Linked DNA regions of Styela clava. The protein of the gene in region 3 interacts with the protein of the main gene of each other region in a biochemical or structural test. Links are inferred from orthologs where the notes say so. Each region holds a gene or a part of one and is shown on either strand. Other genes may lie near its edges. The genes, in order: ubiquitin carboxyl-terminal hydrolase 10-like, recombining binding protein suppressor of hairless-like and uncharacterized protein LOC120345158.

Region 1 (3,760 bases), on a different chromosome or scaffold from region 3:
ATCTACGCAGGTATTAATTTTAATTTTGTTTAACTACACAATTACTTTATAGATATATTGACATGACCGCCTAGCCCCAGACTGTCTCAAAATATATGATAGCAATTGTAAAATATTATAAAATAGTAAAGTAAAAAAACATCCTCGACGGTTATAGGTAGGCCTTCTTCTTGTCGGTGCTGATTGATATTCTTCCATGTTGGCTTTGACTTATTGCGTCGACGATTACGATTAGCCACGAAATAAAATATTTGTGAAATGCTTTTAATTTGAACGTAGGCGCTAGAATGTGTGGGTGATATTCGATATTCTTTTAAACACGAATAACGATATTCGAAGGCCGCGATATTATTAACATTAAATTCAAATTGGACATTCCGGGTTATGAGTTTTCTAATTGAACACCGAGATTACTAGCGTTACTGTACAATGTATCTTAATCAGTTAAAGCAAACACCAAACATTAACTTCATATTATGTGATATATCTTTTTTTCGATCTGAAATAATGTGTACTATGACCAACGCTCGAAGACCGTTGTTTTAACCCGTCTGCCCTATACAGCACACCTAATTAAGTAATAATTACATAGTATCGGTATCGGAATATCGGCCTTTTTGTAGTATCGGCGTATCGGTATCGGCGTTTTTTGCTGGTATCGGATCGGTATCGGTGACAAAAGTGGTATCGGTACTTCTCTACATCCAATTACATTGTAATATCAATAAAATAGATCACACAACAAAATCAAATTACAAAACTTTGGAAAACATCTCTTCAAATTTTGTCTTACATTACTCTAATATTTTTTATTTTAAATAAGCTCTATTTTAAATAACTCTCAAGTAATGTAGCCAAAATGTAGACCAAAACATGAGTATAATACTATTAATGAAATATCTAATAAAAATACTTTATTTCCATAATGAAATTATGAATTTTCGCACGAATTGAACCCCCTCAAATATGGTTTTTTGCTTCATTCAAATATTCAATTTATTGCGAAATCTCTGGGTCTACATTATTTTATTTCAATTAAAAAAAAAATAAGATCAAGAAAACGTTCACTTACGTGTTACATAATTGCATGAATTCGGAAACTGAAAAAATATTTCAATTTTGATTAGATTGATGTATGCCAATATATATATGCCACCCAATGAGCAAGAAATAAGCCTTAAATGTGAATACCACACTTTATACATTCTTCATACCATACAACTGAATTAGGGTATTTTGTTTCAATACCAAGATTCTTATCAACAGTGAGACCTAATATGAATAAGTTATTGTGATCCACTTGTGTAGAATAGATTTATAAGAAGATACACAATGTACAAGATTCTTTTTCAGATTCTCAAATATAATACGAAGCTTCAATCAATATTACTGCCGGTATATCATAATGTAAAATATGTTGTCTGTTGAAATAGAAAACGAGAATAAAAAAATACCTCCACGCATCCAGGTTGTATTAAATAACAATTATGTTCTTCCTCTGTGAAATCCCCAAAACTGAACTAAAAATACAATTTGCACAATTCAAAACTTCGATGATACTATAATCAAAGAAACACCCATGTCAATATTAATAGATAGGTGAAATAAGTTTGGATTGTTAAATTGCGACTTACTTTATTAACTTGCAACAAACTGAATGCAGTCGAAACCATAGAATAGGATAGAGTTATAGAGATACCGTAATTTAAGGGCCATACAACACACTTTAAATCTTTTTTTTTCTTAAAAATTGATCATGAATTTTATCAGCCAATGCGCCTAATGTATGGATCATGGATATTAAAACCTGTAGTGCCTCATAGTCTGATGTGCCTTATGTATGAAAAAGTACCCAATCTAAGCAATTTATAGACAGTGCGCTTTATGATCTGTAAGATACGGACACAAACTCGATAATTATTTTCATACAAGAGCAAAAGTTTAAGCGACATACTTCTATCAAATGTTTTGCATTTGTGAATACTGTTTATACGACTGTCGCGTGGGATAAAAAAATTTCCCAAAAGAATTTTGTTTCAGATATTAAAAAAATTTTTGTCAATGACTTGTAAAACATTCAGACATCGAATCCAGCTTAGACTCTGATAACAAATACTGATGACAAAAATTATGGAGTCAACAAACCAGCTTTATTTAATAGACTGTTTTGAATGCTTAGTAGAGTCAATACATTTTGAGTTAAAAGACTTCACTCATTTTATCACCATTGAAAGTCTGAAATTGTAACTCAGACTCACTCCAAATACCAGGGAATTCATAATTTTGATGAGTTAGAGAATGCGACTCTGGCTCAGACTTCAGAGAGAACATGTTAACCTTCGACCTCTTGACTCCAAAGGCCTGACTGTTGCAGTCACAGTCAATAGAGTACATCACAAATTCATGAACAATAAAACTATTATACAATTGCGGGTTACGTTCATGAAGGACAATTTATGGTAATTTTCAAATTAAAATATATAAATTCAACTTACTCGAGGTGCTGATGCCATGATCGGCAAGCTTGTGACAAATATTCTTTGAAACAATTTCCGTACACCAAATATCTATCTATTCCCTTTACTCATTGTATCACAAAAATAATATCTACAGAAGCTATTATTTCTAAGAGAGAGACAAGATTAACAAGATATAACACGTTCCATAATTCAGATCTCATGTAGAACATTGAATGATAGTCAGAAAGATAGAATACCAATTTCTATAATCCTCAAAAGAGTTTGATAGTATAGAAAACGAAGACCTTTCTCCTGGGTACAAAGCATGTCCATATTGGTCGTATTTATGATATTTGAAACAATACAGTAATTTTACGTATAATTGTATGACAATGCAATAATACACAAAAGACAATATCTCAGGATTGATAATCTCAAAAAAAAAATGGCCGAGGTAAAGATGTGTGCACTGTGAGAGCAAAAATGTTCTTGAAATTCAGGTAACAGAATACGATATATATTTTATCAACACTTTATCAGTAAAACTTAATTTGTGCAAAAACAGTTTGAGGCATATTATGAAACAAAGATTCTGAATTAAAATGAATGGCAAATATATAAATATATATCCAATATGCACCATTCTAAAATTTTTTTTTTTAGGAATACACATCTCAGGTTTAAATCCCATCCCTCTATAGGTGGTGAAATAAATTGTGTAGGCTATGTCGAACTGGGAGGATACCAGTACGATATAAAAATAACTCCTTACAAATCTTCAGATATCAGGGGCCTTATTTAGAGAAAAGGGAATGAAGACGCATCGTTTAAAAGATACCTCATTTTTTTGTTAGTCACAACTAAAATTGAATCCATCTCTCCACTTTAATAAATACTTGCATGGTACAATTATTTTCAGTCAAAAATTCTCTATTGTAAACGGTGAATACATTCATTACCACAGTAAGTAGTACAAATTTCACAAAAATATTTTTGCACATGCAGCATGCATAGTTATGAACTTATGATTTTGTCTGAGCAGAAAAAAGAACAATCTTTACAGCTTACAATGCAATAAATATAGTATGAACAATGAATGCGAACGGGCAGTGATGACTATCAGTCAGTCAGAAAGAAACCGGTAGACAATTTGAATTGCTTGGTCTAATGCTCATCCATGGTAGACGTTTGTCAACACTTGTGATACTGAGGTCTTTTTATAGCGCTCCAGAAGTTTGTGTACCAATATGGGGTAACTAGTTTTGTTTGCCTACTTTACATCATGTTGTGTAAATGGACTT
Region 2 (3,760 bases), on a different chromosome or scaffold from region 3:
TACTATTCAATATAAAAATATTCAAACCAAACTCGAGATCATAGCTAACTTCAGTATTATTCAACTGCATTGTTTTTGGCACAGTACATTCGTAGCCTGAATACCAAAATAATACTCACAATCCGCATTTTTCAATGACTGCTTCTTTTTTGATGGTTTGCTGATGACTTTAATACGTCTACTGTTGAATGCACCAACTTCAACTCCACTGGCAAAAAACATTTTGACAGATAACATAAAATGTTTTCTTTTGTCTGTATCGGAAATATATAATGTCTTTGCAGTGCAAAAGTTCTAAAAAAAATGAAATTATCCAATGTAAAAATCTTTTGAAATTCTAGTATAACAATGAAACAATAGCAAAAAATTCACAGCTCAGCATATGTTCAACATAATGTTAATATGAAACAATTTGAATAAAAACAGACAACAGCCACATGCTGTCAAGAATAAAATTGAGGAAATAAGCAAGTAAACCCTGAAACCAATAGAAAGACATGATTGATCAGATAGCTTTTTCATATGACAAAGCGTACATTCTCATCCAGTAATCTGAATGTATGACAATACATGTGGCACAATTGCAAGTATTTTCTAACCATTTAGTCAACAATTAAACAATGCACAAACCTTCAAATCACAATTTTATGCTACCAAACAAAATTTCACAGAATAATTCCTTTCTAGATCTCTAAAAGAACTTGATAGCACAAAACTATGTTTAATACCTTTCCTTCCAAATTGAGTTGTTGCATCTCTTGTTCACTACTCCCAATACCAATAAATGCATGAACTTGACTATTGTCATCTGGGGGTTGCTGCTCATTTTTTTCATATTGAACTAAATTGTGTTTCCACCCTCCAAACAGATATATGCAAGGTGGAGGACAAAAGAACCTACAGGAAGTATATTATAAATAAAATATATGAAATGTTGTAAACAAACAAACAAATTATCAGCTGCAAAGCCAAATCCCAGAGCCCAAACAATTGCTACTAACTTCTTTATAAAAGCATGGTGCCTAACAGTTTAGGGGGTTATTTTAATAAAATGGCTAAAATAGATGTTTTTTTTTAGACGATACACATTTTCATATTTTAGTGTAGTTCTATGATTATTAATGTTCATATTTTCAAAATATCAGCATACCGTTTTTCATTTCCATAAGATTTCTGAGCAACTTTTGCATGAAGAATAACCAATGTTTGGTCAGTTCTATCACTCAAATATTTCCTCATAGCTTCCCTGAGAATACACAAAATGTAATGTGAAATTTTGTTTTAAATATCATTCCAATGTTAATTATACACAACACAAGCATATTTTAAATTTATCACACGATACAATATTGTTGAAGCATAGTAGTATACATGCATTTATTAATATTGAAAGATAATAGCCTGCTCGATAACGAACCTAGTAAGCCTTCGTTGTGGTGGGATTTCGTCGAACGCGCACCTAAGAAGCAAAATTAGAACCACAGTTAGTGCATACACATAATATTGAATGCTACCATGGAGATTCTGACAAGAAACTAGCTGTCAAAAAGAAAACTAGGGAAAGAATATAGATTCTTGTACTTGAAAGTTTTTATTAAGCATAAAATTGTTGCCTGGATAAATTTGGCTGCTATCAGAGATATTAATTGGAGACATAGCCCCAAGAAAAATAAATGATTACCTTTAATAAGTATAGATATAATAAAAGTCACAAAGTAATAATAAAAAAATAAATGACCTTCGCATAATTCCTGAAATATGTGGTTCTGCCGCATTACTACTACCACCTTCTATTTCATTATTACGAGGGGGCGATGGTCGATCATCTGGATGGTTATGTTGTTGTTCCATACTATTAAGACATCAAGGAAAGTCTAATCAAGAGAACATAAGATTGGTGTTATCACAAGTGTCAAAAATCAGAAAATGGTATTGTTGAATATATCCAAATACAATCACCAAGTGAAATGATAGTTTAAACGAAATTAGCTTATGCTCATTGGCAGCTAAAAAATGAATATTTTTTGTAGTTTTTGGCTTGGCTAAAAAAATATGATTTGGTTAAAATGTAGCCTGGCAGCAGTGGCACATTGTCTGTCTATATCTATACCCTTATTCAGATATTCGAAACACTATGATAACTGACAGAAGAAGTACGGTACCTGTAATGTTACATACAACCAGACAACATTCTGGCATTACCAGTATGCGAGTACTTCTTCCGTCTGTTACCACTGTACCATAGTTACATACTAACATAGTGTTTCAAATATCTGAATGAGGGTACAGGTATAGAGAGATAGAAAGGTTCACCCTAGTCTGTAAGTGAAATTTTGATTTTGTTCCAGGCCAGCCTTTTCAAGTCTAAGTGTTCAGTCGCTCACGTACAGTCTGTAAAATGTCTGAATGTAATGCTGTACTGGAACCGTATGTATACAAAGATAGGATAGGATTTACTTATTTATCTAGGGGGAGAGGAAAGGCGATAAGACGGCTTATTCATATGACGAACCACGGCCTCTCGTCCGGTTACCAGTCTAGGTCCAGAGGTCAGGTATGGGATTAGTTAGCCAGTTATTTGTTTTCGAAGCATGGACTTGATGGTGGAGGAAGCCGTAACCGACCAACGGTTATGTGAACCACCCTACGGCAGCGAGGAGTCCAGCAATCCTCTCGCACATGATCATCCCCGCATGGGATTCGAACCTAGATCCTACGAAGGGTAATCAGAGATGCGGTGGCCAGAGTATTCCTAACGCTTAGCTCGATGCGCCACACCACCGAGCCAAGACATCAAGGGTGGACCTTTACAATACTGGTAACATACGTTATTTCCTGATTTCTAGCAAGACAAAGTCAAACATATACGGCACAGTGTTTCCTCAAAAATAAGATCTTGGTTTTGCTGTGACGAGTTCTGGAGGAAAAGAAAAACCACAGTGGCACCGTCCTATCACGATGTCGCTAAAAATGCTTATTCCCTTTGCAACAACATACGAATGTGACACATCTTTTTATACGCTACTCGTTATTAAAACAACTTGTTGAAACAGAATGGAACGTGAGACACGATATGAGAGTTGCATTATTCAAAACAGAACCCAAGCTAGAAGAACTAGTAGGAGCCAAGCAGGCGCACACATCTCATTGAACTGTTTTAATGTCATTCAATAGGTGAATGCTTAATATAGCCTACCGCGTTGCTATTTGCTTTCATTTCTTTAGTGGATTGCGAGTCATCAGAAAAATTGAAAGGGGACCGTTATGCATAATTTTTCAAAAAGTTTGAGAACCACTGATCTAGAGTATCGTTGTAGCCTACCGGTACCGTAGTCGACAGCGAAAATTTGGTTAAATAAAATCTTTTTCGAATTTTATGAATCTAGAGACTTGCAAGACATTCCGAAGCATCCTGATATGGTCATTTTTGAATAATCTATGTTCAGCACTTTTTTTTTAATAAAAATGTATTATTCATACGAAAGTTAAATGAATATCAGTTTTTCTATTTTGTATATTTGAAAATCGCGTAGGCTCAAATAATTTTGTTTTTGATCAATGAAAATAAAAGATATCCCGAAAATAAGAACCGGTACGGTACCAGTAAACTTCTCTCAATATCGGTAGCGTACCGCCACCGCAATGCCAGCAAAATTCCAGCCAAATCTTGAAAAAGTTGTACCGAATGTCATATCGAAGTGTGGCCGTGATTTTATACGAAATAATTGACTATTTCGAATCTTTTCGGTCACAGGGGAAA
Region 3 (3,760 bases):
TACCATACTATAAATCTGTATGCTGGTATGCGAGTATTTCAAACTACTGTTATAAACGTCTATAGTCTGATAGTAGTCTTTGTACCGTATAATTCTAGTGAAGTAGTATAGAACAAACTAAAATTTTTGTCTAATTTCAAACTTTTTTGTATGGTATTTTCTGTATATTTACCAAAAATCTTTTAGCAAGGCGGCGGTGTGGCTCAACGGGCTAAGCGTTAGGAATACGCTCGCCACCGCACCTCTAATTACTCTGCGTGGGTTCGCAGGTTCGAATCCCATGTAGGGATGGTTATGTGCGAGAGGATTGCTGGACTCCTCGCCGTCGTTGGGTGGTTCACGTAACCGCTGGTCGGTTACGGCTTCCTCCACCACCAAGTCCATGCTTCCGAAGACAAACAATACAGTAAAAACTAATCCCATACCCGACTTGGAATGGTAACCGGACGAGAGGCCGTGGTTCGCCATATGGATAAGCCGTCTTATCGGCTTTCCTCTCCCCCGGGATAAATATGTAAATCCTATCCTATCCTATCCTATCCTTAAAAGCATGCAGTCAGTGAATACTGAAATAAGCTTACTCATAAATAATTAAAAATTTCAAAATATTAAATTAATAATTAGATGAAAAATACTAACCATTGTACTGTTGTAAGCAGTGTAGTAAAGAACTAAGGAATTTCTATTGTGTCTATTGGAGTTGGATGTATTACTGCATTATTAAGAATTTAAACAAGAAGATGTTAATTTTGAATTGAACACCTCCAAATAAATAAAAAAAAAAACTAAAATACCTTATCAAAATATTTAATTATGGATATTCTCAAATAAAGTAAACAATAATATGATTTTTATATCTTCGGATTAACAGCTCAACCAAATTCATCTCTTCATTTTGGAGCCCCACAAGGGAGAAAATCTCACACTCAATACTACTTGATTCATGTATTGATTTTTAGGTTAATCTCTTATTAATCTTATGGATGCAATAATGTCACTGAAAGATTAGTGCCATAACTGTATAATAATATATTATAGAATGTGGGAACTGTTTTAATAATCATTATGCTTTTAAACTGCTAGCTTGATATTTCTAGTTAAGCATTTTGAGCTATAGAAGCAAGACAGATTAGTCTGAGTTACAACACTGCCATATTTCCCAACTTGGGAGGGATTCCTTACCAAGGAGAAATATTGTCACTCGAGGAGGAATTTTGCTTTATATATGCTGTAGTCTTACAAGTATTGTTTAGTTCTTTATCCTTACTGTAGCACTTCTCTTGTGCATAACACTAGCTAAAAATCGATATATGAATACAGTTTTTTTATGTGTAGGGAGAGAGGAACATAGAGTTCCAAATAAGTTGAAGAAAGAAATTGAACGAAAAATATTGGGAAGCACTGGTTTATTTGAACGTCTTGGGGGTAGTAGGCTGTTTTTGATATAATGTATTCAATATTTTACAGATGATAGTTCAGTTAATTCCTTATCCACTGAAATAAAAGAAGGAATGTAATCAGCAATAAAGAGATCAAGTTAATTTATTTAATAAGGTTTTATCATATTTTACTCTTGTGACATACATATTGTATCGTATGTCGAGGAAGTGGATTTAACTTCAACAAAAAATGGATTTACCTCAATTTCGGATTATTTTTCAAGCGGCAATTTTTCTTCCATTTTTATTTGTTTACGGTATGTTATTTATTCTATTGTTTCATACAGTGTTGTAGATTGTTTTAGTCAGATATTTATCTAAAAAAGTCAATTGTGGAATGAAAATTCTCACATGAGTACAGTTGAGCTGTATAGGAGCATTCTTCACAATATTTCACCGAAATAAAATAGGAGATTAAATATTGCTTGATATATGTGATTTCTTCCTTGGTCATATTTTTGAGAAAATTTATGTGTATTGACGCTGTTTTATATTTTAGCGAGAATAATGAAGTTAAATAAAAATGTGCTTGGAATATGTTAATTATATGTTTCATTTTTTAGCATCTGGTTGTTCATCTAATGCGGATTGCACAAGTGGCCAAATATGTATAAGTTCAGTTTGCAGGTAATGTTTGCTACGTTCATTTTCATCTATTTATTGCATTGAGTTTTGTGGGAAAAATTTCGTATGTGCTATTGTGTTCAAACATAATTATGGGAAATTTTTCGTCTCTGTTTATTTGAAGAAATCAACAATTTGTATCCGTATGTTTCAAATACATAAAATAGCTGGTTTTCATTTAAATGATTATCACGTTATTGTATATCTATTAATGTTGAATATCAATTTTATGTTAACAGGATATGTATAGACCATTTAATTACATCCTGATTGCGTCTAGTTATAGGTTGTGCATGTATTACACCAATTAATTTGCAATATTCAGTTTTATATTTATTCTGAATATGCCTAATTTATACTATTTATCCGACTTTGTATTTTTTATAAAACAATTAACGGTACAAATAAAATTGTTTTCGAAACTTCTATTTTAAGAATTTATAGTATATTTTGAAAAAGACCCTGAACTTTGAGGATTTTACTCATTTTTAGGCATTTAGGCTGATTTTATTTTTTTCTTAAATTATTTAATATGAATGAATTTTATTCATAAAACTATCACATTATTTCTTTTATAGTGTATCTCCATGTGCTTCATCACCTTGTGATAATAGCGGAACGTGTGGCGTAGTAGCAACATCTTCCACTGACTATACATGGCAATGTTCTTGCCCATCTACATATATGGGTAAGCATATTTGAGAGTTTTGAAAGATTTAAAGTTATTACCACTTTATTGATGTGCCATCAAAATTTACCGTATTCATTTTTTTCACATCAGTCGGTCATGATTTTCTAATCTGAACTATTTTAAGGCATCTATTAGAGTGTGCCAGTTCCTTATATGGAACATTATTATTTACTGATTGTTTGTAATCATTTCTGGCGAATTCTATAATGAAATTTATTCTGTGTTTTCTTTAGGGACCACATGCAGTGATTACAATTACTGTCATTCAAACCCATGCAATCACGGAACTTGTACTGTCGTGTCAAACAGTTTTGAATGCACTTGCACGGATGGCTATTATGGTGACACGTGTGCCAATGATAAAGATGAATGTTCTGACAATCCTAACCTATGTGCGGTATGCCGATTCATTATATTACTCAATAATAGACATTGTTAATTCTATCTTTGTACCTTGGATACTAAGGCTGTTATCATAATTTTCCATATAGCTTACACTATGAAAAATCCAGCAATGTAACCATCGGAGGCAGTAATTCACAGTTTATTTACAGAAATAAAATTTCCGTTCACCTGGAAATTATATTTTTCGATACTGAGTCAATGATGCACACTATATCATATCCCTACATGTATGATGCAGTGACCGTTTTTTTACTAGTAATAGGGGTGATGCATACTGTGTCACTTATGTAAGCAAGAGTTTAAATGTACAGTGGTTAAACTGGGGTAATATGAGCATCAAAAACTAAAATTAGATTGTGTACTATACTATTAAATTGTTTAGCAGCTTAAAGCTTTTGATTTTATCAAGCTGGTGAAACTTGGTACGAAGTCTTCAACTAGTTCGTTCGTTGTTTAAAAAAAATAATGATATTTAAAAAACCCTGATTTTCATGAATCAGGATAGTAGCATCATCAACATGAGTTATGGCACATATCTTAAAGAAATCATATTCTAGAATATTTTCATCATTATGTGACAGCTCACCCTCATAAATTCCGA

The links.
Region 1: the proteins of uncharacterized protein LOC120345158 (region 3) and ubiquitin carboxyl-terminal hydrolase 10-like form a complex in vitro, tested with the Homo sapiens proteins (2 studies listed by BioGRID, with this or other methods). The link is inferred for Styela clava from reciprocal best matches to the Homo sapiens genes NOTCH1 and USP10.
Region 2: the proteins of uncharacterized protein LOC120345158 (region 3) and recombining binding protein suppressor of hairless-like form a complex in vitro, tested with the Homo sapiens proteins (5 studies listed by BioGRID and IntAct, with this or other methods). The link is inferred for Styela clava from reciprocal best matches to the Homo sapiens genes NOTCH1 and RBPJ.

Annotation. Positions count from the first base shown.
Region 1 is NC_135262.1:10,710,152-10,713,911, forward strand, and holds the start of ubiquitin carboxyl-terminal hydrolase 10-like, read right to left. Parts: upstream 2,628-3,760; 5' UTR 2,514-2,627; coding exon 2,496-2,513; intron 1,521-2,495; coding exon 1,455-1,520; intron 1,101-1,454; coding exon 1,073-1,100; intron 1-1,072. UniProt on the Homo sapiens protein: Hydrolase that can remove conjugated ubiquitin from target proteins such as p53/TP53, RPS2/us5, RPS3/us3, RPS10/eS10, BECN1, SNX3 and CFTR.
Region 2 is NC_135263.1:7,198,279-7,202,038, reverse strand, and holds the start of recombining binding protein suppressor of hairless-like, read right to left. Parts: upstream 2,335-3,760; 5' UTR 2,314-2,334; intron 2,130-2,313; exon of another isoform or gene 1,875-2,129; 5' UTR 1,852-1,874; coding exon 1,739-1,851; intron 1,460-1,738; coding exon 1,418-1,459; intron 1,247-1,417; coding exon 1,151-1,246; intron 898-1,150; coding exon 729-897; intron 295-728; coding exon 120-294; intron 1-119. UniProt on the Homo sapiens protein: Transcriptional regulator that plays a central role in Notch signaling, a signaling pathway involved in cell-cell communication that regulates a broad spectrum of cell-fate determinations.
Region 3 is NC_135254.1:15,461,921-15,465,680, forward strand, and holds the start of uncharacterized protein LOC120345158, read left to right. Parts: upstream 1-1,452; 5' UTR 1,453-1,629; coding exon 1,630-1,696; intron 1,697-2,002; coding exon 2,003-2,066; intron 2,067-2,641; coding exon 2,642-2,751; intron 2,752-2,987; coding exon 2,988-3,151; intron 3,152-3,760. UniProt on the Homo sapiens protein: Functions as a receptor for membrane-bound ligands Jagged-1 (JAG1), Jagged-2 (JAG2) and Delta-1 (DLL1) to regulate cell-fate determination.